Tamandua tetradactyla: one gene and its partners. The protein of the gene in region 1 interacts with the protein of each later gene in a pairwise test. Links are inferred from orthologs where the notes say so. Each region holds a gene or a part of one and is shown in the gene's direction. Other genes may lie near its edges.

Region 1 (8,009 bases):
GCGGGGGAGGGTACTCCAGGGCACGACTGCTTCCTGGTGTCGCACACAGGAGCTGAGTCTCCACCCCCCCGCACCGCCCGCTCCCCCCAGCCCGGCCCTCGCTGCCTCACTTCCCCTCAGCCGGGCACCTCCTTTCCTTCCCCTTCCTCCTCATCTGGCATCTGCCCCAGCCCTGCCCCAGCCCGCCACCCCCAGCCCTAAACTGGGGGAAGAGAAGATCCCCCTTAGTGGTGGGTGGGACTCCATCAAGTTGACTAACCTATTAGAGCCTCAGTCTCTTCATCTGTTGAATGAGGACCATAAGACACAGGGATAGGAGCATTAGGTGAAACATAAGGCAAGTAAAGTGCTTATGAAGAGGCTGGCATGTCCCCAGTAGTGACTAGTCCCCAGATTTACTACTGACGTTCTGGAAATTCCTTCTTTATTTCCATGTCTCCAGACAGAGAGGCTCAGCAGGGGCTGGTGGAATTGCATCGCGCAGGGGCTTGTTGGGTGGGGTTGAGGCTGGGAGCTGCAGCTCAGCGGACACATGCCTCTGGCCACCTAGGGGGACCCTACAGGCTTCTCCCCCGGGAACAGTGGACCACTATGGTGAGATACGGGAACTTTCCAGCTCAGCCATGGTGGGGCAGGCAACCTGAGGGCCGCGGGCAGTGTCGTGGCGGTGTCGGCTCACAGCTCTAGCCAGGATCCACTGACCGGTCCAGGGCTGCTCCTTCAGGGCAGATTCTTCCCCCGAGGAAGGAGCCAAGAGTGCCCAGTGTCGCGTGTCGCGTGTCGCCTGGCCTGTCTGCAGAACAGAAGGTATTAGCCAGATGGGACTCGAGCAAAGAGAGGAACAAAACAAACGCCTCTTAGATCAGTGGCGATGCTGCTCCCAAGTGAAACTCATGGCAGGGACTCCTGGCTCCTCAGAGGCCACCACGGGGCTATCAGATGCTCCTTCTCTTCAGCCTCTTTGCCTCCTCAGAAGGGCGCCAACCTTTTCTAGATTACAAATTAGAAACCCAGTTCTGCTCTCCTGTCTGACATCGGCTTCATCCCTGAGACCAGTTTCTCTTGAAAACATCTCCAGCCACTGAGGACTCCGCTAAATTTCCTTCAAGTTGGCATTTATTTGCTTTCAGGCTTTTCTGCACTTTGTCGTCTCTCCACCCATCCATCTGTTGATCGGCACAATCATTCATTCTGTTATCCACTCATGCATCTGTCCGTCCACCCATCCGTCCTTCCATCCATCATCCATCCACCTGTCCGCCCACCCATCCATCCATCCATCCATCATCACCCATTCAACACTACAATATTCTGAACCGTGGAATGCATGAAGTGCCTCACATCAAAAGGAAGTAAGGAGAGTGACACCCCCTGTGGGCCAGGTTCTGAGCTGGGGAATTACAGGCAGCATCTCACAGGGCCCTCACATCAGCCCCGCAGGTGAGGAGAAATACCTCCCATTTTACAGCTGAAAAGCTGAGAGCCAAACCCATGGTCCCACTGTGGACACATGCCCAGTCTACCAGGCAGGAAGTCATCGGTGGAGAAGGAGGGCTGCTTCTACGTGAGAAGTTACCGTGTGGAGGAGAGGCCCTTAGAGCAGGATAAGAGGCTGTGGAAGAAAGGAAAGTTGTACATTTTAGTACCTGTAATGGCATTTCTCTCCCTTCTTTTTGAATTAAGTCCCCACACTGGCCTTCTGAAACTTGTCCTGGCAGTGAGCAATCAATGAGAACAAGCACGGAAAGGCATATCCCTAAATAGCGGCTAGAATTACAAGTTTTTAGTTATGCAGCTGGAGATGGTGGATTGCAGCTGAGCCCAGCGGCTGACTGTGGTGTTTAATGTTGCAATAATTGGTTTTGTATTTTATTCTGTAATCTTCAACCTACTGCTTTTTAAATTCTTCAAGCAGATGGATTTAAATAACATGCAAAAGAGGATGGGCCTCTGCCTGCTTGGGGAACTCCCCCCACCGCCATCCCACCCCGTAAAAAAAAGTGGGCTCACAAGCCTGGACTTGAGGCACAACTGCCCAGACCTCAAGGCAAATTTTGCTTGAAGCAGCTGCAACAGTTGCTAAAAAGTAGTACTTTTCAGGAGCTGACTGTCCCCACCCTGACCCCAGGGGGCTGGGGGGCTGGATTGAGGGTAGGGCAGCTGGTAAGGGTAGGGGCAAAGAACAGCTCCCGTTTCCAAGGGGCATGCAGCCGCCTCCTTTCTGCTACCCCCACCCCCACCCCAGCTGCCCCGTCCAGGCCTAGTCCCTCTCTGAGAGCTATCACAACCCCCTCCTCTGCCTGTCTCTCCAAGCCACTCCCACCTGAAGAGATCTTTCTAGAACCTGTCGGCTGGTCCGTGGGCCCCTCGGGGTGGAGACTGGATTGGCCTCTCTGCTCCCCAGTCCTGGCAGGGCCTGATCTGGGGTGCTGCCCGGGTCTGTGGGCCTCGGTGGAAAGAAGCCACCTGTGGTAGGCAGATAGATGGCCAGTGCCCATAGCACCCCAACGAGGGCTCACATCCCTGCGGCCAGTGGTGGCAGAGCATGAGCATGTGGCCCACTTCCGGCCAACGAGAGACAAGGGGAGGTCTTCTGGGAGCTTGGAGAAAATGAGACATAAGGGCAGATGCCCCTTTTCTTACTCAAGACATGCCTGGTCTGGAGTTGGAGCCCAGAGCAGTTGTAGCATCTTGGGGACCAGCTGAAAAGGGAGACATAAGGGGGAGAATGGCCAAGAGACTGAGCTGCATTCCTGAGAACACCCCCAGGGGGCGTCCTGCCGCCGGAGCCCTCGGGGGAGGGGGACGGTACAATTCCTCAGTGCCAGGAACCTCACCCCACAGTGAACTTGGAAGACCAGGTGCCAAGGCTGGGCTCTCATCCCCTTAGCACCACCAACCCCCAACAGCCTCCCTGGGCTAGGTTTTCCATCCGTCAGGTGGGGTGACAGGTTCTGGGCACAGCCCTAGAGAAAGGAAGGACAAAACCGTTTGCTAACAGAGACCTGTTGGTGTGAGATAACTGGAGGTGACAGTCCTGGGTTTGGCGGCTGTGAGGCTGAGTCATATAAACTCTGATCACTGGTTTCCTTGGCTGCGAAATGGGGAATAAGAATAGAGAGCGGCCTGCAGGCTTGGGTGAGGAGTGAATGAGGCAGGCCCTGTAAAAAGCTCATTGGTGCACTGCACACACCATCAGGGCTCCAAAGCAGTTGCTGCCTGTTCTGGTTGCCAGCTGCAAAAGGGCAGGGTGGAGGGACCTCTCTCTGCAGAGAACTTTAAAATCTTTCCACTTGTTCCTCCTATCACATCCTCCCCCAGTTGCTCCAGTCCACTGCCAGCAAGCACCCATCGGGGTGGAGCAGAGTCAAAGGGCTCCGGTGCATTGAGGGATGGGAGGGTTTGCCCAGGTAAGGAAGATTGAGGATGGCAGGCCAGAAGGGAGGGCACGATGGAGCAAAGTGTGCGGGTGGGAGAGCAAAGGGTGCCCTTGCGGAGAGAGAGGAGGCCTGAGGGGAGCTGGAGTTTGTGGGAGGCAGTAGGGGCAGGGGAAGGAGGCTGGCTGCAAAGTTTTCTGCCAATAAGAGAGTGGAGGGCTCTCTATGAACAGAGGGTTTCCGGACTACTTTTGGAATTAGAGGTATCATCCCATTTGATGGATGGGGAAACTGAGCCCAGGGAGACTGGGTCAGTGCTAAGAGGGCAATGGTGCATTGGGGCGAGACTCACAGCCTCTGCTGTAGCCTCTGGGGCTCAAGGTGAGGTTTACAATCTTAGCTGTCTCACTGCAAACAACAGAAAACCCCACTGGAGGGTCCTCAGTGCTGAAGCTGATCAGCAGCTCACCCGGCCAGGGGTGTGGAAGGAGGACGTGTCCCAGGTCGGCAGAGCAGCTCCAGCCCCACTGCCCGGCGACTCTTCCCCCCTGCCCGTGCCATGCGTTCTCTCTGGGACATACCCCTGCCCTCCAAAGCCCGGGCCTATGTACCTGGTACTTGGGAGCTTCGCCAAGTCCCCCAGAGCAGTTTCCTCTGTCTTATCATCTGCCTGAGGATTCGTGGAGAACCCCTGACCCATGCCCTCTGCCACTGCCGGGGCTCCGGCCTCCCTGCGGGCATCTCCTGCTGGGTGGGCGGGTGCCGGGTCCTTGGGGCTGAGCCTGGGCTCCAGACCAGGGCTCCTCCCAACACCATACCTGACTCTGCCCCCAGCACCTGCCCCACCATTCCAGAAAATTCCACAAATGCTCTCCAAACTCTGTCCTTTCCAAAGACTGGGGGTGACAGATGAGGAAACTGAGGCCGGGGAATCAGAGAGTGGATGAAGGTCCCTTAGCACTGAAGGGTAGAGCCCAGACAAAACAAACAGGACCGCCACCTGTTTTCAAACTCCCACCCCTGTGTCTTTCTAGTTCTCTCTCTCTGTCTCCTCTCTCTAGACTCCATCTTCAGAAGGGTCTCCATGCCAGGAGAGGGTCTAATCTGCAGACATGGGTGGGTGTGGGGGGGGGGTGGTGAGCAGTCTCATAAGGTCTCAGGCTAGACGCTGCTCACCCCATCTGCTCCCACGTCTGCCCCCCTCCCCGCCCCTCTGGCCCAGCTGGGTCTGTGTCTGGACTATGAGCTCCTTGAGGCCAGGGCTTGGCCGGAGCAGCAGGGTTTGATGACCGATGGCCGGCCTAGGCCCGGGGCGCCCTCCTGAGCGGTGCGCTGGCGACGGCTGGGGAGTCTAGCGTGGCAGGTGGCGGCGGGATGGGCGCGGGGTTGCAGAGCACCGCGCTTCCTGTGGGTGGGGGCCCGGGGGCCCGCCCGGGGGAGGTTGCACAAACCCTCCGGCGCGGCCTCAGCTGCCTGCCCGCCTGGCCCGCGCGCCGCCTCCCCCCGGGGGTGCGCCCGCTCCCCGCCCGGGTCTGCCCCGCGCTGGGTCGCCGCGGATCGCTCGGGGGCGGGGTGCGCCCCGGGACCGCCCTCCCCGCGATGGGCTCCTTCCTCATTTGGCTGCTGATCGTGGCCCGCAGCGAGCAGGTGGCGCCCCTTTCCTCCCTGCAGCACCTCGCCTCGGAGCCGCTGCAGAGCGCGCGGGCTGGGAGGGCTCCGGGGCCGGCACTGGGACAGGGGCGCGGGCACCCCCACCCCGCCGCCAGCCGGGATGACGCCCCAGCTGCAGTTCAGAGACGCCTTTTGGGTGAGTGAAGGCGCCGCGGGCGCGCGCAGGTGGAGACCGCCCGGGGCGCGGGGCGGGGGTCAGGGGGAGGACCCCAGCCCCACCCCCACCCCACCGAAATTTCCCGTGGATGTGGCTTCCGCCGCGGAGCTTTTTCTCATTAAAAAAAAAAAAGCAGGGGCCACCACTTTGTGGTTCTCGTTGTCGTGGCTGTGCCCCGGGTCACCGCCCCGTCTGTGAACGTGGAAGACCCTCTCCACGCCGGCAGGACCTTTTCTAGGAGAGTCTAATGCAGGGGTGCAGGGCTTGAGGGGCGAAGGGGGGATCACAGCTTTGGGGACCGGACAAAAACTTGGGGTCAGATTTTGTCTGTGCAAGACGTCTTTAGAGGTCCCAGAGCCCCGGCTTCCCTACCTGTGCAGAGGCCTGGGAGGAGGGAACGGGGCGATTCTGTGCAATGAAGGCCCAGCCCCCGCTGGCACAACAAGCGGTCCCCGCACGCAGAGCCTCTTCCCTTCGAGGCTTTCGGGCTCCGAGGAGCAGGGGGCTGGGCCCTTCATTGCTCACTTTCCTAAATTCAGCGCAGGCATCAAACAAGTCCTGGCGCCACGGGATTGCGGCACCTGGCCCGCTCCGGCAGGTGACACGGATCACCTGGCCAGCCGGCCCGGGCCGCCCCGCCCCCCGCCCCCCACCCGGCCCCTTCGCTGTTCTGCAGCCGCCGCTCACCCTTCCCCCGGGCCCTGCTGCTCCGCCGTCCTCGGAGGCTCCCGGGGCGGGGGAAGCTGGGGCCTCTGTGGTTTGAGCCGGGAATGTGACTGTCCCAGGAGAGCTCCAGCCCGCCCCTCACAGGGCTCGCTGGCCCTCCCCGGGCCCTTCCCTGGGGCCAGCTGCCAGGAGGGACGGAGCCAGCGGGCCTGGCTGCCTCCCCTTCCGGGCCACGCTGTGCTTAGCGCCCCAGGCTGAGTGAATAGCCTGCTGTCTGCCGGCGCTGGCCGCAGGGCGGGCAGAGGGCCCAGCCCGGGGAGGCCGCCCCGCCTCTCTCTGGACCTCCGTTTACCCATCTCTACAAAGAGGGGGTGGAGCCAGCTCAGAGAAGCTGGTGAAGGCAGCTCTGGCTTCCAAACCCCAGGGTGCTCCCTGCCCAGCTGGCAGCTAAGGGGTGGAGGGACAGGGGGTTCCGGGGACCAGGAAATGAGTCACCATATCGCTGCCCTGGCCCCAGAGTGCAAGGTTGGGGAGAAAAAGGGCCTGGAAATGCAGCAGACCCAGACTGTTCTCTCTAGGAAATCTATCCCAGCCCAGAGTCCCTGAGCCCACCTTCCCTGCGGCAGAACTGGGGCAAGGAGCTGCCCCCAGGGTAGGCTGTGAGCATGGGGAGGGGGGAAGGGGATGTCAGGGAGCAGGGTGTGGCAGCAGCAGCCCCAGCAGCAGCAAGAAATGGGCCCTGGAGGCAGCTTCCTGTGTGGCATCCTGCTTGAGCCCCCCCCTCCCCCGCCAGAGGCTGTGAGCCTCCAGGGGCCTCCTCTCCTCCATGCCGGACTCCCTGGGCCTGGGGTGAGGGTGCCGCCTCCCTAGGGAAGGCCAGAGCAGGGAGGGGGAAAAGAAGAGGCTGGGGGTGGGGGGGGGTACCTCCCATTCCAAGCCTGGGCGCAACCTCAGAAGTCACTGTCAGCACCACCTGCCCCCAAGTTCTGAATTCTAGCACCTCTCCATGATGTTAAGCCTGGCCTGGGATCTGGGATAACAGTAGCATTTCCTGAGCACTATTAATGTGTGAGCTGCTGTTCTCAGGGCTGTGTAGACTTTAACTCAGTCCTCCCAGCACCTGATGGAGTAGCTGCTATTGTTATCCTCATCACTCAGAGGAGGATGTTGAGGCTGAGAGAACCAAAGTCTCTTGTCCCACAGCTAGGATCGGACCCCGCCAGGCTGGCAGTGGTGCTGGGCTCTCAGCTCCCAGACTACCCTCCACCTGGAGATCCTTGGGCCTCAGCACCCACATCCACAAGATGGGGGATAGATTCTCTCTTTCCTTCCTCCCAGAGGGGTAGGAGGGCCCGTCTAGGTGCTTGGAGCATTTACATTTCAGTTGCAATGCAGTGTTTCTGTGGAGTGGGTTAGGGGCAGAGCCCAGCCTGCGGTGCCCCCCAGCCTGAGGCAATGCCATCTCATCCTGCAGCCCGGCAGAGCACTGCTTGACAATCACTAGGCTTTAAATAATGGAAGGAAACCCCTGAAGGAGCGTGTCTCATTCCACAGCACTTCATTTACCACGTGCTTCTGGCCCGAACACAGGGTGAAATTGGGCAAGGAGGAAAGCAAATGTGGTTTCTGAGTCGCCAAACCTGCTGTCCCTAACAGTTTGCATCACCGCTTACTCGTAGAAGCCCCCGGCTTTTGGTCGGGGCCTGTGAACTCTGATTTTCCTTGCAGTTCCAACAAGCTTGGTCGCATAGTCTTTAACCCGCTAAGGCAGCATTCAGGAGGGAGTCTGCACAATATCTGATATGTAGCTGGTGATCATAAATGTTGGGGGACCTGAGCTTCTAGAGGCAATTTCACTAATGACTTATAGTCTGATAGCCAGAAAGGAGATGGAAAAATTGTGAAAAGCAGACATAATGGTTCAGAAGTGGTGGGGCCGTTCAGTGTGGGGGTTCTGTCCCTTAGGAGGCCTGTATTGGAATTTTGTCCGTGCGGCCACACAGTGTTTATCTATAGCCAGCTTTTATCTGCAGCAGGTCAGCGTGGGAGTGAGGTGGAGTGGACTCGAAGCAGGGGGAGGAAAGGAATAATTTGATCTCTGTTATACACAGACAAGTGATAAAGAGTGTCACCGCCTT
Region 2 (7,137 bases), on another chromosome or scaffold:
CTCTCAGCTCCTTGAAAACAGGGATCTCTATATTGCTCTACAAGTGTTTGGTAGTCAAATGCGTCTTGAATAAATGGCTCCCAACACCCTGTATGGTACTTAACATGTGTTCAATAAATGTTTATTAACATGTGCTTAATAAATTTTTATTGAATTAATGTTGTTGAATATGAATCATTGTATTTTTGCTTGCTGTTATAGGTGTAGGAAGCTTGGTCCCTATGACTTTGAGGTGGTAGTTTTTGTTGCAATAGGTTGCCTGGGTATCAGGAAGAGCTACAGAATTATCTGGATTATTTTCTCCCAGCTTTTGTTTCTTCTCTACAGGCATGGGTTGGAATTGGAGCCTGTCACCCCACCTGATTGCAACCAGCATCATGTGGTTGCCAACTGTTCTGCATTCATCTGTTGATGCCGCCCAGAAAAAAACGCCGCCAACGATCCCAGAAAGCTCCACTGCTATTCCAGCAACAACCACTGGAGGGCCCCAAACACCACTCTGGATCCCCACAGCTTCCCATCACCCATACTAAACGGGTGCCCAGCAAGCCTATTGATCACAGCACCATCACTTCCTGGGTAGGTTCATAGGATTCTTATTTTGACTTTTACTCCAGTAGGTGTCTCAGAATGCTAACCATTGAACAAGGACCTCCAAAGAATAAGATTTTTGGGGTGCAAAAGACAAAGAAGCATTGTATTCTTTCTGTTTTCAGCCATCTCTTCTTTTTTTCTCGTTTTAAACTGAGACATGGGTTGGTTAGAATTGTTGCCTTTCCCCCTACATTCCTCTAAAGGAGTTCAGTGTAAAGCTTTCACCACCCAATAGCCAGAAAAATGACAAGAATATTGTTCCCTGAGTTTCATATGAGAAGTGGAGTACTCAGGTATTCTCTTTACTGTTTAATGGATTGAACTTTGAAAAACAAAATGCACAGAAATTGGATATGTGATAATTTAACTATTTAAAAGCTCTGGAATAAGGGATTAGCTACTATATGGCATGGAAATAGTATAACAAAAGGGCTAGACAAAAGCATAAGCTCTGTTTAGTTAAGAGTGACTAATAAATAAAACTTGGCCAGGACTGCTTGGAAGAACTGTAATACTCACTTGAGGATTGTGGAAGAAACTTAAATTTTAGAGTTCTGTGGACGAAAATAAGAGTGAATATTTATTGACTACTTACTATGTGCCAGACCCTATGCTGATTGTTTTACATACATGATCTCAGTTCCTCATTCATGCATTCAGCCATTTATTATTTCCTGAGCGAGGCACTCTACTAGGTTCTGGGGACTGTGATGTGAACAAGACTGCTGTTGGTCCCTCCTCTCATGAAATATAAAGATACTTTAAAAGTTGCAGCCATATTGTGTGAAGTCAAAGAGACATTGTTCCTTTCTTAAGTATAAGGAAATAGCCAGAGATTGATTTTTTTTTTTTTTTTTTTTTACCATAGCTCATATCCCTTTCTGTTACTATGCCACTAGACAACTGTTATTTTTCTATTTCTATTACCAAAGTCGGCCCCCGTATAGGATTCTGGTCACTGGATGTCAGTTCCTGGTTATGGTTTGTACTTTCAAGTTTGTACTTGGCAGTTGGTTCTCTTCACTTCTTTCTCTTTTTTTTTTTAATCCTTAGATATTGCCTGAGTTTGACATGACAGCAGAAAGTTGGTATCCAGTCAACCAGAAATGTCATCACCAAGACCAGGCAAGACATTCAAGTCGCAAATCTGCCGCCTCCAAGTTTCCACAACTAATCTTTGAGAGTCCACAGTCTTCTTCCAGTTCAGTGACACTGGAGATCCCCTTAAGCAAGAAGGGCCCTAGTCAACTGGCAAAGGACATTTCTGGAAGGCCCTTAGTTCCAATGCTCAGCCCCCAAAGTAGTAGGGAACTGTCAGTGCATGCACTTCAAAGTCCAGGTTATGTGTTCATTCCACCTGATATCCAGACCCCAGAGTCATCTGTGAAAAAACCCATTCACCCAGATCAGAGGAAGAACAGCCTTCCAAGCTGCTCCCTTCACTCTAGTACTCCCAAGAATGAAGGGCCTGGACCTGCTCTAGTTAAAGACACTCCTGAAGAGAAGTATGGCATAAAGGTCACTTGGAGGAGACGGAAACACCTATTTGCTTACCTCAGGGACAGAGGGAAGCTGAGCAGAAGCCAGTTCCTTGTGAAAAACTGACTTATCAGATAACAGCCTCTTTATTAAGAAACACAAGAAATTGCTGATTTTCATAGAGTTGCTAAAGTAACTTTTCTGACTCACAGGAAGAGTACATCAATAGAATAAAATGGAAATAACACCAAATTAAAAAACAACTTTAACTGGAGCCCTGTAACCAAAAGGAAATTAAACTCCCTGATTAGCTTTTTAAAATACCTTGTTTCATAAACAGTTGGATTTAGTGCCATAAACAGTTTACTTCATATTTTTCTTATATTAACTGTTTAATTAATTTTAAAATGGCTTTTAACTTTAAAATGTATGTAAATAAATGGTTGCAGAAAGTTTTCAGAGAACTGTGCTGCTCATTGTCAGTAATGCAGCAATAGTGCCCCACTCACAAAAGGTCTTTCTTATTTCCTTTAGCCACTGCTCATTAATCCGTTATCTCTTTTAGACCAATTCATTCCACATTTTGAGAACCAACTCTGTGCCACGCTCAGTGGCAACTTCCTTTATGACTGGATGGGCAGAAAAAAATCAAAGGAAACGCATGACTTTTTTATAGTTGAGCTGCCGTCTCAGCACCCTGGCTCATCTGCTGAAAGAGCAAGAATAGGACAAGTTCTATTTTCATAAATACAGTGGGACCAGGGTAGATACAGACATAGACAAGTTACTTAGGCTTGCTTAGGTTTTGACATTTTTTTTCCCCCACCAAAGAAATCTGTAAACATTAGGTAGGATGGGAAAATGATTTCTTGTAGCTGTTTAAAATGTATGAAAATAAAGTGCAAAGTTTTCAGACATGATTACTTCTTGTTGTAACTAATGCAGAAGGGCTGCCCAGTCAAGAAAATGTCTCAATTGTCCTTTTACCCATACAAATAATGTCATTCAACCCTATTCACTCAGTATTTATTAAGAATCTCGTCTGTGTCAGATCCAGCCCAGCTTATTATTCTGCTTATTTTATAGAGGGGGATTTGAAGCACAGATCATGAACCATGTTCAGGTTCACTGGATGAGTGGAGACTGACCCAAAGTGTTCAATGCTCTGCTCTCCTAGCTTATGTCAAGTTCTATGTCTCTTAAAAAAATCAACTTCTGGATTCAAAATTAATGTGGAAATAACTTTGACTTTGGAATGCAATAAACTAGTCAGTGTGCAACAATAGTGGTGGTAAGAAAGGAATTGATGGTTGAGGACAAGATTTATTGGAAACAATGCTATCGTTTTAGATAGTGGATCCCATTATGGGACATGGATGTTTGAAGATGGTCTATAGATTGGAGAGAAAGGTGGATGGAAAAGTTTCTGGATTCTCTTGTGCTTTAGGAGAGTGTATAGCAGGTCTAGGAATGAGCTAAAAGCTTAGGCTGGAGTGGGAGAAGCTGAAGTTTTGGGCAGATGTGAGAAGCAGGTGAAAAGTGTGAGGCCAGGAAACTAAAGGAAAGATGGATTTAATTGGCGGATATCAGCTGAGGAGGGTACTTGCGTGTTTGAGAAGAAGGCCTTCGTTTTCGTGGAAGGAAAAAGATTGTGAGAGGGTCAGCTGGTCTGTAAGTCCTTACATTACAGATCTCTGGCAGCGCCATGGGTGGTCTTTGGGAGTACCGGGAAGCCACTCTGGGTGGTGGCTAGTGGGGGTTGGGCGGCTCCTCAAAGGGACTCGCATCTCCGTCGCGGGAAACCAACGGCGCAGTGGCAAAAACATCCTTCAGCACGCAGCCCTTCCCGGCGCAGCGCTCCAGGGGACCAGGCCCTTGCGCGTCATCCCCGCTCCGGCGCAGGCGCCTTTAACTCTCTAGTTCTTCCCTCCTCTTAGAAACCCTCTCGCATCCCGGTGGCGGCAATAGCCAATGAGAGAGGAACGGTAGGCACATGGACCAATGGGCGGTGGTGACAGTGCAGGGTGTGGTTGCCAGGGGGCGGGGCCCGGCTGCCTGCCAGTCTTGCCAGCCTAGCAGCGGCGTCTACGAGTCTGGATGTGATTGCCACTTACTTAGCAGCGGGTGATGGAGGCGTCGCGCTATGGACGTGGACCCAGTGGGGATAGGTAAGAGATGGATTGTGGCTAGTCCCTTCGCGAGCGAGGCGGGGAGACGAAGTGAGAAAGTGGATGTCCTGTCCGGGATGTCTGAGGGGAGAAGGCGGTGGGCTCCTCTCTGGGAAGCGATCTCTCTCCCTACTCCCTGGGACAGGACCCCTTTTAAAGTGAGCAGAAGAGCGCGGCGACTCGGCAGCTTTGCCCATCAGCAGAGGCTCCTCCCCGCCTTGGGAAACTCTTGGAGTTTTCGTTCCGAGCTCTCATTGCTCTGGAGGGCCTCAGTTTCCCCTTATTTAAAATGTATTAGCCCTGCTCTTCACGCACTGCCTGGTAGTTTAATAACTGAGATTGGATACATCCTCTGCTTTCCGAGGATGTCGAAGCAGAAGGTTGTGAGTAATACTGGATACTTTGCACTAATGCTGAAGCTTTTGCTAGGCAGTGCTGAATTCTGGAACAGTTGTTCCAGGGCTGAAAATACAAAACTCGTTTTCTTCTGTCTGCTTTCTAGCAGTTATCTCTTACTCGGGATTTTCTGTCTTTTTATAAACGTACCATACCCGTTGTTTGTGCCCCTCTTTCTTTCTCTTTCGTAACTTCGGCCTCCGCCAGAGGGAGAGCCTGGAAAATAAAACGATCTGAAATCTCAGCCTGCCAATTTCTTGTTAGCCAGATTAATGAAAAGTTAATGGGGATCGGTGTGAAATCATTAGCTTAAAACTTGACATTGTCTGAGGATTTAAATCATACACACACCATCTGCTTTTTAAAAAATTATTATTCCATTACTACTGCGAATAAAGATTTGGCACGTAAAGATTCAGGCTGCTTTATTATTTTTTTCGTTTTTATTTGTTTATTTATTTAGTCTGTTTTTTACTAGAATAAATTTAAACAATTCTAAACCATTTTTAAAAATTGTCACTAGAGAGGTGTTGGGGTAGAGAACACTCCTTCCTCCTTCATCAGGTTCTATTTATGTGATAGTGGCACTCTCAAAATGTGTTTACAACACTTTTTTTTTCCAAGTGGAGAGAAAAATAATCCACACTTACAAGTATAAATATGGGAATGCTAGGATGAGGTAAAGGTAATATTCAGCTTCTGTGGTTGAGTTCAGATGGTACTTGTTTAATTGTGGACACTCAATAAATCTTAGTTGAGTTTTAAAGCTATAAATTTCATAGTTATCAGATGTTTGATATGACTCACAATTTTTGGGAAAAAAGTAATTAACTTTGAAATTGGCATCTGGAGGCAAATGGCTATAATTTATTGGAACTGAAGTTTGAGATTTAAATGAAGATAAACATTTCTTTTCTTTTTTTTCTTCCCCAAAACACAAGCTCTTTAATTTTAAAAATTGAAATAAAAAAAGAAAAATAAATTAAAGAAAATTGACATCAAAGGGGAGTGTGTGAGTCACCAAATATTTCTCTTGCGGTAGGTAATGTTAGTGCAGCTTTTCAGTTTAACTTCTTTGTTGCTAAGAGGGAGTGAAGTTTATCTCTTGCTGTGTTAGTTTCAAGTTGTGTCTTTAAAGTTTTTGATGAAATACATTGATAGAGTCTTTGATATTAATGTACCTGAGAAGTTAGGATTTAGGGGATAAGTATTTGATTACTGAATCGTTATATAGACATTGCTTTTTTTCTTTCTGGTTTATTTGAGTAGACAGAGGGAGATACCTGAAATCTCTGAACTGTAATCCATCTGCCTTGATCTCTGATAATGAGCCTATATATAGCCTTTATCTTATGCCCTTGTGATTGTAAAAACTTTGTGGCTGACCCTCACTTGTACTCATTTTATCCGGTTTTTTGACTCTAAAATCTTGTGATCACTAACCCTCACGTTTATTATTGAAGGGTCTTGGGTCAGCCCAGAATGCATGCACCCCAAATCTAAAGTTATCTTGATAACCGAAGCTGGCTCTGACCTAAATGGGCCTGCCTGAATGCATAGTAGCTTGTATTTTAACTTGTAAATCACCTGTACCTCATTGTAATATTAAAATTCATGCCCATCATTATATTAAGGCCACAATTTTCTTACATATGTTCTTTCACTAAACGTGTAATGAGTCTGCACATTGTCCTGAAACCTGCCTATCTTTTCATACTATAAAACTGTCAGAATTACTGCAGTTCAGGGAGACAGATTTGGGGTGGATAGGTCATCTGATCTCCTGCGTCGTACCTAGCAACATTTTTTTTCTCTCTTTGAAACCCGTGTCTTAGGAATTGTCTATTGAACGCATACGGCAGAGAGTGTACCACCTTTGTTTAGTAACATTAATACCTTTCGATGTGAAGATGATATCTGCCTTTCAAATTTCCTGTGATTTTTTTCTTCTTTGACTTATGTGACTGTTTTAACATAAGACAGATTTATTTTCAACAAAGTAGAAATATTAACAGTAAACTTTAAATGTTTTTCTTGTATCTCAAATGTTTAGTGAAAATTGGAGATAGAATTTGAAGTAGCACTCTGAGGACCTTTGTTGAAGCTGGGCATTTGTATTATAGAATTTCTGGAGAGGATAGGGATTGGCTAGGGAGAGAACTTTTTTTTTTCAGGGAGTATTATTTTATTAAATCATGCACATTATGTGTGTTAGGGAAGTTGGTTTAATCTGTATTAGAGATTAAACTAACTTGAGCTCTATCTGGCCTTTGTGATAAATAATTTGTGATACAGAATTGAAGGTATGGTGAGAGACTTCCCAGTGTGATCTTGTGATCCAGACTTGGGTCGGAAAATCCTGCTCTGTGGTTTAAACAATACATCAGGATTTCTCTTTACAAATATGAAAAGCAGTAGTGGCCTGAAGTTATGTCCTGGTTAGTCTTATTATCTGCTCCCATGCCTTTTTTTTTTTTTTTTTTTTAGTGTCTCACCAGAT
Region 3 (7,621 bases), on another chromosome or scaffold:
ATCTTGCTGTACCAGGCCATAGCGTCGTAGCAAGTCTATATGGATTGGTTAACTTGGGCCAAGGGTCCAAATTGGCAGCTGTGGCTAAAGACAGGCAGGGTGATCAATTTTCCTGAGAAGAATGTTGTGGCCTAGGTAGACTATTCTGAAACTTAGCTTATCATATGCCATTTTAAAAACCTCTCAAACAAGATCTCTTTTTCCCTTTATTTGCCTATTTCCATGAATGATATTGCCATTCTCCCCATCACATGAACTGAAATTGTAATAATATTTTAATTAAACAGATTTAATTTTGTTGGAAAAATAATTCATGCACATAGTAAAATATTCAGAACATAAAAGGGTATACACACTGGTAATTGTCTCCATTCTTCCAAAGAGCCCCAAGGCCCCCCAGGGGCAACCACAGTTAACAGGTTTTTTAAAGTATCCTTCAGAAAAATTTTATGTCATGTTCAAGCATTTTAATCCACACTTTAATTTTACATAAATGGAAGAATACCATAAAACTATCTGTGCCTTGCTTTTCTCATATAACAAGTAGCTCTTGGGCCCTAATCCATATCAATATATGTAGATCTACTACAGTTTTTCTTTTTAACGGCATCACAAAACTTCATTGTATATATGTGATTTTTATCCAGTGCTTTTTCGATAGGAATGTTATTTCCAGTTTTGCCCTTACAAATAAGGCTGCAATAAGTACCTATGTTTGCACACACCTGATCTATAGGGTAAATTCTGATGAGAAATTTTGAGGTCAAAGCATGAATTAATAATTTTGATACATTTATTTCCAAGATGCCCTCCAAAGGTGTTGTGACAATTATTCTCATCTTCTGTGATGAGCATGCCCATTTTCTCCAACTTTCAAAAGTTTCGTGTTCTGCCAAACACTGTGATCTCTGCCAATTTGGTAATTTCAGTAACTTTAAATTTGATCTACTTTCTCTTAGTTACCTGGTTTTGTGAATGCTTCCAAAATGTCTCTCCTCTTCATCTGCCTTTGTATTTGTACTACTACAACTTTAGTTTCACTTTTGCTGCTTCATGTATTGACTCCTGATAGCTCATTCTATACTTTTCCATTATTAATTCCCAATTTAACAATAAATGATGCCAAATTAATATTTTACTAACTTGCATAATTTTACTTATATCCTTAGAAACCTTTGGTGGCTCCTAATGCCTACAGAGTTAAGTCCAAATCCCTTAACCAGGCATTCAATGCTTTTCAGAGTCCAGTCCATCTACTTTGGAACCTCTGTCCCCACACAAAAGTTCTGCTTCAAAATTTTGCTTTGCTGTCTTCATGCTTTTTGCCCCATCACTGCCCTTATTTGGACTTTTTCCTCCCTGGTCAAGCCTAATTTCACTTATCCTTCATGGTTAATCCTTCATCGTTAAACTCTTGGTTACTTTAAGTCATTCTCTGACAACCTAGTCCACAGTTCTCTCTCCTCAGACTTCTTGCTGCTCTCATGGTCTGTAGCATTCATTTGACATTTATTAACCTAGAGTAACCAAGAGTTTATTGTCTTTTCTATCATCTGAATTAAGATATTAACTCCTTAGGAGAAGGAGCCATCCCTAAAACATTTTTTGTCTCCCACATACACAGTATAATTCTTCCCATATTGAGGTGCTCAAAAAAAATACCTGTCTGTTAAAACAAGTCCTAAGTATATTAAACAGGAGAATAAACTAGCTAGATACCAAAGAAGTACACTGCTAATTCTTTCAAAAAAAGTAGAAATCCAAGAAGGTACTTCACATTTGTTTTCCCTAATCTACAGCAGATGGCAAAAGTGTCTGCTGAGAATTCACGAAACACTCAGGTGTTACTAGAGAGAGAAACTTTCCAATAAGAGGAAAATAAAAACAAAGGAAAAAAAATTAAGAAAAAACTCTAGTCAACGGACATTGGGAACTTCTCCTGGAGCTCGTGTGCTGTATTTGCTAAACAAGGATCACTGATGTTGTCTCCAATGCATCCAACAATGAGCTATCCACACCAAGACTCTGGTGAAGTATTGCATTGTGCTACTGACAGCACACTGTTAAGGTAGTGATATATGAGTCCCTCTATGCACTAACCCTGGGCTACAAAAAGGGGCCAAGCTGTCTTTTGAGGGGGAAGTGAGTTTAAACAAAAAGTGATCAAAGAAAATTCAGAAGAAATATGATGAAAGGAAAAAGATCAGCAGTGTTCTGTAGGGGCACTTCCAGCTGAAGAAGCCTCTTGCATGCACTGCTTCCAGGCCAGGCTGGTGTGGTGGAGCAGATGGCTTTGTGCTGGAAAGCAAGGAGCTGGAGTTCTATTTGAGGAAAATCAAAGTCTGGAAAGGCAAATAAATTCTCCTCTCTCCCATCCTACCTTATGTAATAAAGGTGTTTATTGTTCTTAAAACAACAACAAAAAAACTAGCCAAAATAGGACTCATGACCTCTGACAAGCAACACTTCTCATCAGACTGTCACTAGACTGATAAACAACTTCTTCAGCATAACTAGTCCTTTATCTATCTGGTTTGTACAGTCTTTGACATATCAAAAGTGGAGGCACGCTTGCTGATCTGCCTGCTTTTTTGTCATTTCTCTCTAAGTTCTGGGGGGGAGAAAAGAGAGTATCTACACTGAGTTATAATGTAAGATGATCAAGCTAGATCCTGACCTTTACCCACACCTGTGAAATCGAGTCTCAGTAATTGGTTGAAATAAAACACTCCAGATCCTTGTTTCAAATAATATCTACCTTAGAAATTAAACTACTTCTGTAAGTGATTTTTTTTTTTTTGGGGGGGGTGCATACTTCAGGAATCGAACCCGGGTCCCTCGCATGGAAGGTAGGCATTCTAACCACTAAAATACCCGTGCACCCTAAGTGAATTTTTAAAATACAAAACTATATCTTTTTTACATGCATATAAATGCATGAGAAGAGATTTGGAAGAGCACACAACTTCTAAGTGCATACTTCTGGGGAGGGGTTGCATTAGTTGATTTTTTTTTTAAAGATAAAAATTTTTCTTTAACAAAAGGAAACTGTATCTTATTACTCTCACTTATCTTCTTCAAAGAGTTTCTCATTAAATTCCATGATGCCTCTAAACATTCATTTGGGAAAAATGACCTGCCACTGTTATTTCTTATTTAACCCAATTTTCTGAGTAATCCGATCTGTAAAGAATGTTGTTTGAGGGTTTAAATGACCAAAATACGTCCACGGATCTAATCCTTCACTTTTGTCACATTATCACAAGTTCGCATTGCTTAGAGGCAATATGGTATCGTAATGAAAGCAAAAGGACTTGAGTTCTAGTGTTATAGCTCTGGTAAGAACATGCTGGAGGCCCCTTAGTAAATCACTTTATTTGGTGAGTTAGACCAGAATGGATAACCTCTGGTTACTAGAATTTTAAAGACGTACAAAGACTTATAAAGTCTATTCTATGGAGAAAGTCTCTCATGCAGTTCTAAAATGCTGTCAATTTAAAAAGACGACAGGTTCCTTTAAACTTAGTAAACAGTGAGCCCCTACGACATGCATGGTATACATTAGGACGCATTACGATTCTCAGGCGCTCACTTGCCAGAGCTTAGGTGGATTTGTGAAGAGAAAATCCTTTCAATCAAGAAGCGTTTCGCTTCTCTTAGCCGTAAGAATCCTCCAAAGTCTTAGGTTGTTAAGGCCTTATAACAGTGAAGGCAACATACCTGCTGTGAACGTGGAAATGGCATTACTACAGTTCCCAGCATGCCTCTTTCCACCCCCGCCCCTGGAAGCCAGCAGGCCCGGACTTAAAACGGTGGCGGAGCCAGCGTCGAAGCATTCTTGTAGTAATCTGCTTCCCCCCGCCCTCTGCCCTGAGTAAGCGGTGAGATCGCAAGCTCTAATTAACATCATACTCCAACCCATGAGACTTAGTCCTAAGAAGAGTTCCCTCCTATAGGGTAACCAACACTCTTTTAAGGTTTTCTCAGACCTGGGCGCTACCGGGACGGGGCCACGCCCCGGAAGTGGAGTCGGGTCGCTCACCAGATCGCCGAAGTTCCTTCCAGCCACTCCAAGCCGAGCCGCGGCGCTGGGCGGGCCTGGGGGCGTGGCCTTGGAGGTGGGGCGAGCGGGGGCGTAGCAGCGCGGCGCGGCGCTTGGGGCGGAGCCGCGGTGCGGGGCCGCGCGTTTGGGTGGCGGCGGGGGCGCGCCGTGGGGTAGAGTCGGCTGTCGCTGCTAGTGGTAGTGGTAGTGGTGGTGGTGGTGGTGCGGGGGGAGGAGAAACTGGGGACGGGGGGAGTAGGGCGAGCGCAGAGCGGTGTTCCTGAGGCGGTGGCGGCGTCTCCGGAGGAGGAGGAGGGCGGGGAAGGAGGATGGAGCAAGCTGGGGGCTGGGGCTGGCGCTAGCCGCAGCACCTCGGCTCGTTACTGTGGGAAAGCGGCGACTGCTCCTGGAAGTTGTGTCGGGAGCCCGGCCGGGTGCCGCCGCTGCGTCCCCTAGGGCGGTGGGGAGGAGGAGCGGCGGGGATTGGCGGGGGTCGGGAGGGAGGAGACGCGCAGCGGGAGCGAGCTGGGGAAGACGGAGCGGGCTCTGCGCCGGGCGGGCGGGCGGCGGCGGGGGGGCCAGCGACCGCAGCCAGGGGGACGCGGGAGGATGGAGCAAGTGGAGATCCTGAGGAAATTCATCCAGAGGGTCCAGGCCATGAAGAGTCCGGACCACAATGGGGAGGACAACTTCGCCCGGGACTTCATGGTGAGTCTCTCACCTCGCTGTCGGCTCCTCTCGAGGCCACTGAAGCCCACCGCAGCCTCGCCGGGCCGGCCCGAGCCGCCAGCGCTTTGTGTGCTGCTGTGAGGAGAGGGGCAGAGGGGGCGCGCACCAACCCCAGGGGCCGTCTTGGCCGGGAGCCCGGCGGGAGGTGATACTGCCTCCGCCCCTAGGTCTCCTTTCCCCCTCTCCCGCGTTCGCGGCCCCTTCCGCGGGCTTCTGAGGCGCGAAGGGAGCGGCCGCTGGGCCGAGTCCTAACCCGGCACCGTTTCCTGCGACCACCTATTGTTTCTCGGGCCTGGAGCCGGAGGCGAGTGAGGTGCTGACCGAGAGGACTTGCCTTTCCACACCTCCCCACCTAGCCTGCCCTTCCCAGGAGGGTCGAGGCAGAGTGTCGGGCTGTGTCCGGGGTGGGGAACCGATCCGGCTGATGGAGGTACCAGATTGTTGAGGTCGGCGTTAACTCGTGGGGTCATTTTGCCCAAGCAAGTCTCAGAGGTGGGCAAGGTAGGACTTCTGCCTTGTCTGGGTTCGCAGTTAATGTCCAACGCTTGCAAAAAGGTTTTCCATAAGGAAATCGGGGTTCTTATAATTTTCCATTTATCCCGGTCCCATCTCTCCTCTCCTGAGACCCAAGTTTGAGGTGGTCTTAGGATCCGTTTGACTTTAGGTTGGGGGGGGGGAGTGTGTGCGTGTGTGTGGGGGTATCCTGAAGGAAGCCTACTTCGGACACCCTAGGGGATATTGCCAAAGGCGGAGGGGATGTGACTATCACTTCCTATCCGGGGTGGGGGTGGGGAGCTTGGGAACAATAGTTCTGGCGGGGCGGAGGCGACTATCTGGGCTGAAGCCCTGAACTGGGAGATAACCTTCTCAGCCCCCCGCCCCTTTCCGCCTGCTGCTCCTGCGGGCGGGCTTATGAGGTGAGGGTTAAAGTCTTGTTCGTGAACTTGCTCTACGATACTTCGCTGTGAGGGGAGGCAGATCCGAAGGCGTGGGACCAGAAGTCGACTTCCTATACTACATCCCCCCACCCTCCACCTTTTATTTTTCTGCTGGACAATGTTCCCTCTAGGGTTGTTTCCCGGTTTTGGAGGCGGTGGTTGTGGCTATTGCTCCTACGGATATTGCGCAAGACTGGGGCGTTGGAAACCCTGGAGGTCTGGGGATGGAAAAGGAAGTGGGACTTTGGGAAGTGGTTGCTTCTTAGCCTTGGCGGGGGTTGGGGATGGGAAATAAGCCGGGGAAAATTTAGCCTCTGGATGAGGTACACCTCCGAGAATAATCCTTTAACTCCGAAATTCGATTATAAAAAAGATACGGAGCTCAGGTGTAGAAAAATGAATGGGCAGCTGACATTGGCTGGTTTTTGTTTCAAAGTACAGTTGTTTTCAAGGTGCAGGTGAAGTGACATTTAGTACTGAAATACTTTATAACATTTTAAAAAGACTTTAGTCTAGAAGCTTTAGCGTTAAAATTGTTCAATTTATAAAATAGATCCTTGACCTTACATAGTATTATAATATTGTTGAGCTTTGTGATTCCTACTTCTCCAGGTAAGTAGTAGAGGACAGGAATAAGGTTTTGTTAGTATCTTTTGAAGACTGAAAGACAGAAATTAAATAATTTGATTATGTGTTATTTGAGACATTTTCTCTTGCTATGTAACCTAAATATTTTTGAAATATTACTTTTGATCTGAAGGGGGTAAAGAAAGGAGTATTTTCTCCCCTAACTCATGAGAATTTTTATTTGTTGATATATTTCAGGTGTCATTTTCAGTAATTGGTTGGTGTTCCCTTTTTATTATTCTCTAGCAAAAATAGAAGAAAATATTTACTTGGAATATTTAAAACATTGTAAACTTAAGTCTTGGAAGACTAGATGGTATAGACCTTGACTGGCCACTTGTTTGCATTCTAGCCATATTGTTTTCCCTGGATGCTCTATCCTGTCAGAAAAGAGCATTGTTTGGTTTGATGATGCAGGCCAGGACAGGTGTGCAGACTGTGAGCTACTGTACAGGGGACTTAGCCTTAGGATTCGTGCTTTAGGGATGAATCAGGAATTCTTATTGGAGATTTCATTCCTTGAGGATTAAATAAGTTTCCTTTTTATTCCATAATACCTAGAAATAGCTAGGTGATTCTGCATTTGAGATTTGATAACTGAGGCTATTCTTACACAGTGTTGTGTGTGTGTGTGTGTGTGTGTGTGTGTGTTGGGGGGGAATTACCTGACTTATAGTTTAAGCAATAAGCTATAATTAAGGCTGTACATAGTGCCATTTTTTCCTTTGACTAAAAAGCTGGAGAAAGACATCTCCCTACCTCTGTCCCTTTGTCATGGAAACAGAATAGAGGGTAGGGCTCATATTCTGTGGTGTTATTCTAAATTCTAATGCAAATCAGAAATTGTTTTTAAATTTACTTTGAATATTGAAAACATCTTAAACTGAAGTCTTATTATGGTTATGGAAGAATAAATGCTATAGACCTTTAGCATTTTAGAACTGAAAGAGGTCATAGAGGTTATCTAGCTATTACAACCCCGTTCCATTATAATATTGCTTATTATTTCAGATTTACAAATTATAGAATAACAATTAGTTATGTCTTATGCTTAGAAAAGTAGCATACCAGCTCTGTCTGACTACCCAGTCTTTCTATAGTCTACCCGACTACCTCTGATAATGTTTTTAGTGCTTCCATGTGTCAATACTACATATACCATTATATGTTATTCATTACCTAATATTTTGGTAAATTTTTTTATTAATGCAACTGCTTTGTAAAAATTTTAAATGGAGTATAATATTTCATCTGATGATTTATTATACCACAACCTTTTCCTTAT
Region 4 (6,958 bases), on another chromosome or scaffold:
TCCCCAGGGAAGCATGGAGAGGCAATCCGATCCCTTCCTGAGGGTCTTTCTGCTCTAAAAGCTCCTGATTCAGGACATTCGATTGGGTAAGAACTACAGAAAACGGGTCTTGTGGCCACAGTGCTGAGCGAGGGACCTGGTTCTCAGTTAGTACTTTAGGGTGACACGCAGGGAGGCAGACAGGAGTTGGGGGTCACGATTTTGCTACTGAGGGGACAGGAAGCTGCCCCGAAGCAAGACCTCTAAGAACCTGCCCTTCTTCCCTCTTCTGCTGCTTAATCTCGTCCCTTTACTCTGTTTCACCGGGAGTGTTAGTTTGGGTAAGAAAAATGGTTCAAGATGCTAAGTGAAGACACGCCCCTTCAGTTGCAGTGAGGGTGGTAAGGGAGGATGAGTCTTGGACCAGATTTTTCCCGGAAATCACACACACTAAATCAGGGACTGCACCCTCCCTCAGTGCTTGGGGGACCCACTTAGAATTTAAAAGGCATTAAAAAGCGACACATGTTCAATTGAAAAATATAACAATATCAACAACAAAACAGTAACCATTATCCATCCCTCAGGGATCAATGCCTGGAGGAAATCCTTCCAACAGACACACACACACACTTGTTAAGGAAAAAAAAAAGTGACTTTACTGTTTTTTGGTTTTTTTCTTTGTAACCTGTTTTTTTTACATCCCAGTTTGTCCATATGGTGAGTTACTCACCCAATTTCCTTCTATTGACTATTTAAGCTGACAATTTTTGACATACAAAAAATGCTGCGGTGTATAAACTTATAACCAAGTCTTAGGATGTCTCCATCATTATTTCCTTAGGATTAAATCATAGTTGTGGATTTGTTAGGACAAAATTTAAATAAAATGTTTTTGATGCTTCTGATTCAGACTGACAAGTTGGCAGCCAGAAACTGCGTCCCTATTTGCATTTCTCCTGACCGTATTTAAGAATGCCCTTTTCCCCGCAATCATCAGCACTGTCTGTATATTTTCATTTGTAAGTTATGAAAGATGAAAAATGTATGACATCTATGTTTAAATTTACATTTCTTCGATTATTAATAAATTGAGTATGTTTTCATAGATTTATACTTCTATTGTCTTTCTTTTTTTGTGAATGTTCCTTTCATGATCTTCACCACATCAAGTTATCGTCTTTTCTTTCTACGTTCATAACAGAATTTTAATTTGAAGGATATGAACCTTTATCACATATCCCACAAATAAATTTGTCCCTGTTAGTACTTTATCTCTTAATCTTTTTTATGACTTTCTTTTAATTAATGAAGTTGTAGGTTTACAAACAAACATGCATAAAATACAGCGTTCTCATATAGCACACTATTATTAACACTTGTATTAGTGTGGTACATTTGTTGTAATTCATGAAAGAACATTTTAACAATTGTACATTAAACATAGTCCAAAGCCTCATTGGTTATACACGGCTCATTGCTTGTGTTTATAGTTCTATGTTTGTTTTTTAATTTTTATTCTAATAATATATATGCAACCTACCATTTCCCTCCTTTTAATCACGTTCAAATACATAATTCAGCGCTGTTAATTGCATTCATAATTTTGTGCTATCTTCACTACAGTCCATTACCAAAGCTTTACAATCGACCCAAATAGAAACTCTGTACAGTTTAAGCATTAATTTTTTTACAAACAGGTTTGCAATTTTATGTAATCAGACTTATATCAATCCTTTTCTTATTCATGGTTTCTCCTCTCCAAGCCACGTACCTCATGCTGTTTTGAGTTAGATATGAGAGGGACAGAATGAATATTTCTAAAAGAAGAACTGAAAGCTGTTTTCCACTTATTCCATGAGAGCTAAGAAAATGAGTATGACTGCTGAATTATTATATCGACATTTTTTTTTTTAGTCTCCAGTATCTTGGAGTAGCTAGAAGGGAAATTGTGAAATTATAGAATTATATCCCATACCAAACTCTGAAATCTGTTTTATAATTACATGTTACAATGTACTTTGAAATTCATGGCTTTTTTGTATGTATGTTATATTTCACAATTTAAAAAAAATGTGTTCAAACGTCACAGAAGTTGATAACTTTATGTATTATCATGTAATTTATCAAAGGTATCATTCCATGTCTTAATTTTGTTCTTCTTCATTCTATTTGAACTGTTATAGAATATTTCATAAACTGAATATACCATAATTTAATTGTTTGCAAATTTTTGTTACTCAAAAATGCTACAACAAGCATCCTTGAACGAAACTTTTGCATGTTACACAAACATTTGTATAGGACAGATTTCTTGAACTAAAATTACTGGGTAATTTTAAATATATAATTACTGGGTAATTTAAAAATATATATATTTTAAAGTTTAGTGAAAATTGTCAAATTCTGACCCCTCCCTGGAGATAATGATTTACACTCACTCCAATATTGTATGAAGGTGCTTGTTTTGCCCCATATTTTTGTCCATAATGTAAATGATCTTCTCAGTTTGCCTATCTGATGGTTAAAAAAATGGTATTTTGTACTATTAGACACATAAATATAGGTGAGGTTAAACTTCTTGTATGTTTATTAACTATTTATATTTCTTCTATAAATTGTTCATTCAAGTCCTTTGCCCATTTTAAAAACCAGGTTCTTTTTCTTACTGATTGATAAGGAACTATTTCTATATCTTAGGTAATAATTTTTCACATAGACAGAAAATATTTTCTGTCATGTCTTTTCATTTTGTTTACTATATTTTTGGCTTACATACACTTTGAATTTTCATGTCTGTATTTATTAATTCTAGAAAGTTAATTTTTTATAGAAAGACCTTCCATATGCAAAGAAATGAAAATGGATTTCTATATTTCTTTTGCACTCTTATAGTTTTTTTGTTTTCTTAACATTTAAAACTTTAATCCAACTGTTTTTCTGTGGGTGATTTGACAGTTAGGAATTTTCACATAACCGTGAGGTAAGTATTTCAGTTAGGCTTCCCTTTACCCAATGGTAGAGATCCTTTCCTTCGACTTAATTTCATTTCCTGGACTTTTTCAGAGATAATATCCATAGTTTACCTGAAATTGACAAAAAAAAAAGCACAACTTTTAAGATTTTACTCACTGTATCCTAAAGAATTATAAAACTGGATATTAACTTTGGAAATGTGTCGTTTTTACTTTGGAAATCTGTCATTGATGTCCCATGACTGGGGTATCTGTGAATCTTTCGCCGGGAGCATCCATCTCTGTCTCACTGTTTCTCTTTTTTGTATTACAAATTTCCTTTCTCTCTCTCTCTCTCTCCCAGTTCCCTTTCACTTGTTTTTCTCTCTCCATATCCATCCCTTTCTCTTAACCATCTAAAATGTTAATTGTCGTAAACGTTTTTAAATCATTAGTTCGGGTTGTTTAATAGTATTTCATAGTTTTTATGCTTCTTTGGTTGTTTTGGAACAAGTTTTTGTTTACTTAACTGTGGAAATTACAATAGAGTTGTAAAATGTATAGTGCAACATAAGATTTGGGGACTCCAAGCATTTATAGCTGAGAATCAAGTCATATTTGTTTCCTTTTTTAAATCACAAAAACAATTTTAGAACACTCCAACATCGTAGGATACTCGCTTGTATTCTGCTAGTCACTGACAAACATTTACTCATATTTAAATGACAACACAGTAAAGTGGATAGAGGACGGGCTGGATGGGAGAATGTGATCCCTCCTTTACTAAAGGCTGCTCCTGGGTGATTTATTAGCCTCTCGGTTCCTCTTTTCTTCAGTGGGGATAATGAAACCCACCCAAGATTTTTGTGAAGCTCCCAACATGATTAGAAAACACATATTCACGAACACACCTGCTTTAGCAAAGGAGAGCGTCAGACACATTATTTTGCTGATTCTGTTTGTGTGCGCGCGCCTGCGTGCGTGTATGTGTGTGTGTGTGTGTGTGTGTGTGTTTGTTCTACACTCCTGTAAAAGGACCTAAAAAAAGCGGGGCACATGGTTAAGCTCTCAGGGCGTGGGTTCCACCAGTCCTGCTTCAATTCTTTTTTTGCAAGAAGAGCTTAGAATCACAACAAGGAAACTAACCCCAAAGATGAACCTCTCATGTGAAATTTTCGCCAGCTTCCTTCTGATTTTCCATGTTTCTGCCAAAGGTAAGTTACTGTGTGGGTGTCTATCGTCACAGCTAAAAGCCTCTTTGGAGACCCTGTGGCGTGTGCAAGAGTTGAAGAGACCACAGCCCAACCTGTGTTGGCAGTGGATCTTCAGATCTCAGGAACTTTCTTGCTTTTCACAGGTGCAGTCCCTAAAGAGGTCTGGGGTGCCCTCGGCCGTGAGTTCTACTTGAACATTCCTGATTCTCTAGTAAATCAGCCGACGGGTGATATACAGTGGAAAATTGGAAATACCAGGATTGCACGATTCACGAAAAGTAAAATAACTAGCACGTACCCGTACGAGGTGTTCCCGAATGGAACTCTGAAAATTAAAAATCTGATGAGAAATTACAGCAATACCTACATAGTAAATGTATATCATGAGAATGGAAAACATGTGCTGGAAAAAGCATTCACGTTGAAGACTCTGGGTAAGTCTTTGCTTTTTAAATTCCTCCATTTCAGCAAGGGTCCCGTTTAGCAAGTTGGTTAATAATGTTTATGGAATGTCCCCAGCACTTCCCTTGGCCTCCTGGGGAGCTGTAAGGGAAATCTAAAGTACGTCTCCTGTCCCAGTGGGGACCACAGGCTGGTGGGAGAGATGGAATCCACCCATGTGGAAATAAACAGTTGATGGGCCTTCAAGTTCAGCCGCCTAAAACTCTCCGGTGCCTACGGGGATGCAGGACTGGTTCAAGAACATGGATTAAGGTGGCGTTAATCAGAAGGAAGCGAACAAGTGAACAGAGAAAAAGGTGGCCGTCCCAGGTGCATGATGAGCCAAGCAGTTAGGGGTGCGGGGAAGGGAAGGAGCGGCTCGGTAGAGAGCGGCAAATTTTCAGATAGAAAATTTCAAGCCAGGTGCCCTAAAAGGAGTCGTTCTATGGCAGGAAAGGGCTGGAAACAATGACTTTGAGGAGGCAGGTCCTTGTTGCTGTCCTCCCAGCATCAAAGTGGTTGAAGGTGGACAGAGATTTTTGCTGATGCGTGTTAAAAAAGAATACACAGGGTGTGCCTTTGTATGTCTGCGTTTTGGGAGGGCAGGAGTGGTCACTGAAGATGAGGGAGGAAGACCAGCCAGGAAGGTGCTGCTATAATCCAAGTGAAATGAGGAGGGGCTGGCTAGTGCTTCTTAACCATGTCCTTTAGAATCAGCTGGGATGCCGTTAAAAGTTTTCGGCACCCAGGCCCAACCACAGTCTGGTAAAATCAGAATTTCTCAATGTGCAGCTTGGGCGCATTTCTAAAATGTCCCCGAGGGATTCTCATAAGCAATCGAGGTTGTCAACCACTGGCTTAGACTTTACTTTTTGGGTGCCTGTAAAAGGAGGAAGAATGAGCCTACTGAGGGTCGGGAATGGAAAAAGGATGGACAAGATGCTTTGCAGGATAAACTGAGGAATGAGAAAGAGGAATTGAAATGATAACAAGGCTGAAAGTCCAAGGGACACTGGGTAGGGAGCAGTAAGGGGAAATGAGAAGATGACCCGACACTTGGCTTGGAGAGGAAGGCAGGAATCCAGCCCCAGCAAAGACTGTGATTCAGTGAGCAAACAAACAGCTCTGTACTTCACACAGGAAATGCCACCCAAGGCAGGGGCCCTTCCTCTTCTCTGGGGTAACACTTTCAGGCCAGGGCTCAGCCTGGGGACTTAACAGCAGCCCCACTCCGACAATCCCAGAGATTGTTGGGACCCAAGCAAAGGGCAACTTTTGAAACCCTAGTCCTGCCCCCTCGAATGGAAATATAATCTAGAAATGGTGTAGGGCTGAGAATGGAGCCAGAAGGGGCTCCTGTTTAGGACTCTGGGAGCCACAGATCCTACACCTCCAGCCAGCATGAGCTCAAGGGCCCTGTTAAATCAACCAGAGCCATGCTGGTGCTGTCCAATTCATGCCTCATTTCATATCAGAGTGACCACAATGGCTACCAGTAGTTGATGCCACTAGATGTCAGGGGCTTCATGTACATCATCTTATTTAAAGCTCAACAACAACCCTAAGACATAGTTATTATCCCTTATTACCTATAAAGAAGCAGAGACTCAGACAGAAGCAACTTGCCCAAGGTCTCATAAAGACCAAAGAACGAAGCCAGGATTCAAACCCAGGGCCCCTGTTGGCAGGGATGGTTATTTCTAACTTTATTTATTTATATAATTGTATGGCTCGAATTCACACGCCATACAATTCACCCATTTAAAGTGTACAATCCAGTGGTTTCTCGTATGCTCACACAGTTGTGAGAACATCACCACGATCAATTTTAGAATAGTTTCATTACCCCCAAAAGAAACCTCATACCCTTTGGCGGAAGAGGAGTGACTCTCCCATGACGTAATGAGCACCTTGCTGTTTGCTGGGGGTGCATGAAGATCCCTCAATATCTTAACTCGGTATGGGGTCCTGTCGCCAATACTTGCTCATGGGCTTGAGCGGAATTCTTGATCTGCTCTGAATGTGGTTTAAAAAAAAAAATACTGCAAAAGACATTAAGGGATTTAATGAGACAACGTATGTAAATGTGCTTTGCCATGCGTGGGGCACGAGACGTGTCTGCTCCACGAGAGTGCCCTCCCCCATCTCTTTGTTTCTCCATGCCTCTTGTGGCTTTAGTCACAGACCCCAGCTTCCCTGCCCCTCTCTAATGGGCTTCATAGTTTCTTGCTGAAGAGGTCTTGGAGGGCACCTTACAGGTAAATGGTATGCTCAGCCATGGGAAGGTCTTAATAAAGTGCTCCCCTTTGACCCATCCATGCCTCTTCTAGGGAGCCCCCTTACAGGGAGGCTATGAACAAAGACATAACT

The links.
Region 2: the proteins of PSTPIP1 (region 1) and TULP3 interact in binary tests that used the Homo sapiens proteins (3 or more experiments, as listed by UniProt). The two-hybrid records come from large-scale screens. The link is inferred for Tamandua tetradactyla from reciprocal best matches to the Homo sapiens genes PSTPIP1 and TULP3.
Region 3: the proteins of PSTPIP1 (region 1) and PTPN12 interact in binary tests that used the Homo sapiens proteins (3 or more experiments, as listed by UniProt). The link is inferred for Tamandua tetradactyla from reciprocal best matches to the Homo sapiens genes PSTPIP1 and PTPN12.
Region 4: the proteins of PSTPIP1 (region 1) and CD2 interact in a two-hybrid assay, tested with the Homo sapiens proteins (2 studies listed by BioGRID and IntAct). The link is inferred for Tamandua tetradactyla from reciprocal best matches to the Homo sapiens genes PSTPIP1 and CD2.

What each region holds. Positions count from the first base shown.
Region 1 is NC_135340.1:89,855,722-89,863,730, reverse strand, and holds the start of PSTPIP1 (proline-serine-threonine phosphatase-interacting protein 1), read left to right. Parts: upstream 1-4,991; 5' UTR 4,992-5,148; coding exon 5,149-5,184; intron 5,185-5,577; coding exon of another isoform or gene 5,578-5,734; intron 5,735-5,892; coding exon of another isoform or gene 5,893-6,227; exon of another isoform or gene 6,228-6,260; intron 6,261-8,009. Other genes in the region: uncharacterized protein LOC143656381, read right to left, coding at 590-793, 1,455-1,612, 2,324-2,466, 2,644-2,702, 5,578-5,734, 5,893-6,227. UniProt on the Homo sapiens protein: Involved in regulation of the actin cytoskeleton. May regulate WAS actin-bundling activity. Bridges the interaction between ABL1 and PTPN18 leading to ABL1 dephosphorylation.
Region 2 is NC_135333.1:65,027,681-65,034,817, forward strand, and holds the start of TULP3 (tubby-related protein 3), read left to right. Parts: upstream 1-4,123; 5' UTR 4,124-4,200; coding exon 4,201-4,241; intron 4,242-7,137. Other genes in the region: RHNO1 (RAD9, HUS1, RAD1-interacting nuclear orphan protein 1), read left to right, coding at 412-579, 1,648-2,199. UniProt on the Homo sapiens protein: Negative regulator of the Shh signaling transduction pathway: recruited to primary cilia via association with the IFT complex A (IFT-A) and is required for recruitment of G protein-coupled receptor GPR161 to cilia, a promoter of PKA-dependent basal repression machinery in Shh signaling.
Region 3 is NC_135327.1:140,471,606-140,479,226, reverse strand, and holds the start of PTPN12 (tyrosine-protein phosphatase non-receptor type 12), read left to right. Parts: upstream 1-4,602; 5' UTR 4,603-4,651; coding exon 4,652-4,750; intron 4,751-5,140; exon of another isoform or gene 5,141-5,272; intron 5,273-7,621. UniProt on the Homo sapiens protein: Dephosphorylates a range of proteins, and thereby regulates cellular signaling cascades. Dephosphorylates cellular tyrosine kinases, such as ERBB2 and PTK2B/PYK2, and thereby regulates signaling via ERBB2 and PTK2B/PYK2.
Region 4 is NC_135337.1:4,206,755-4,213,712, reverse strand, and holds the start of CD2 (T-cell surface antigen CD2), read left to right. Parts: upstream 1-3,946; 5' UTR 3,947-4,086; coding exon 4,087-4,147; intron 4,148-4,290; coding exon 4,291-4,581; intron 4,582-6,958. UniProt on the Homo sapiens protein: CD2 interacts with lymphocyte function-associated antigen CD58 (LFA-3) and CD48/BCM1 to mediate adhesion between T-cells and other cell types. CD2 is implicated in the triggering of T-cells, the cytoplasmic domain is implicated in the signaling function.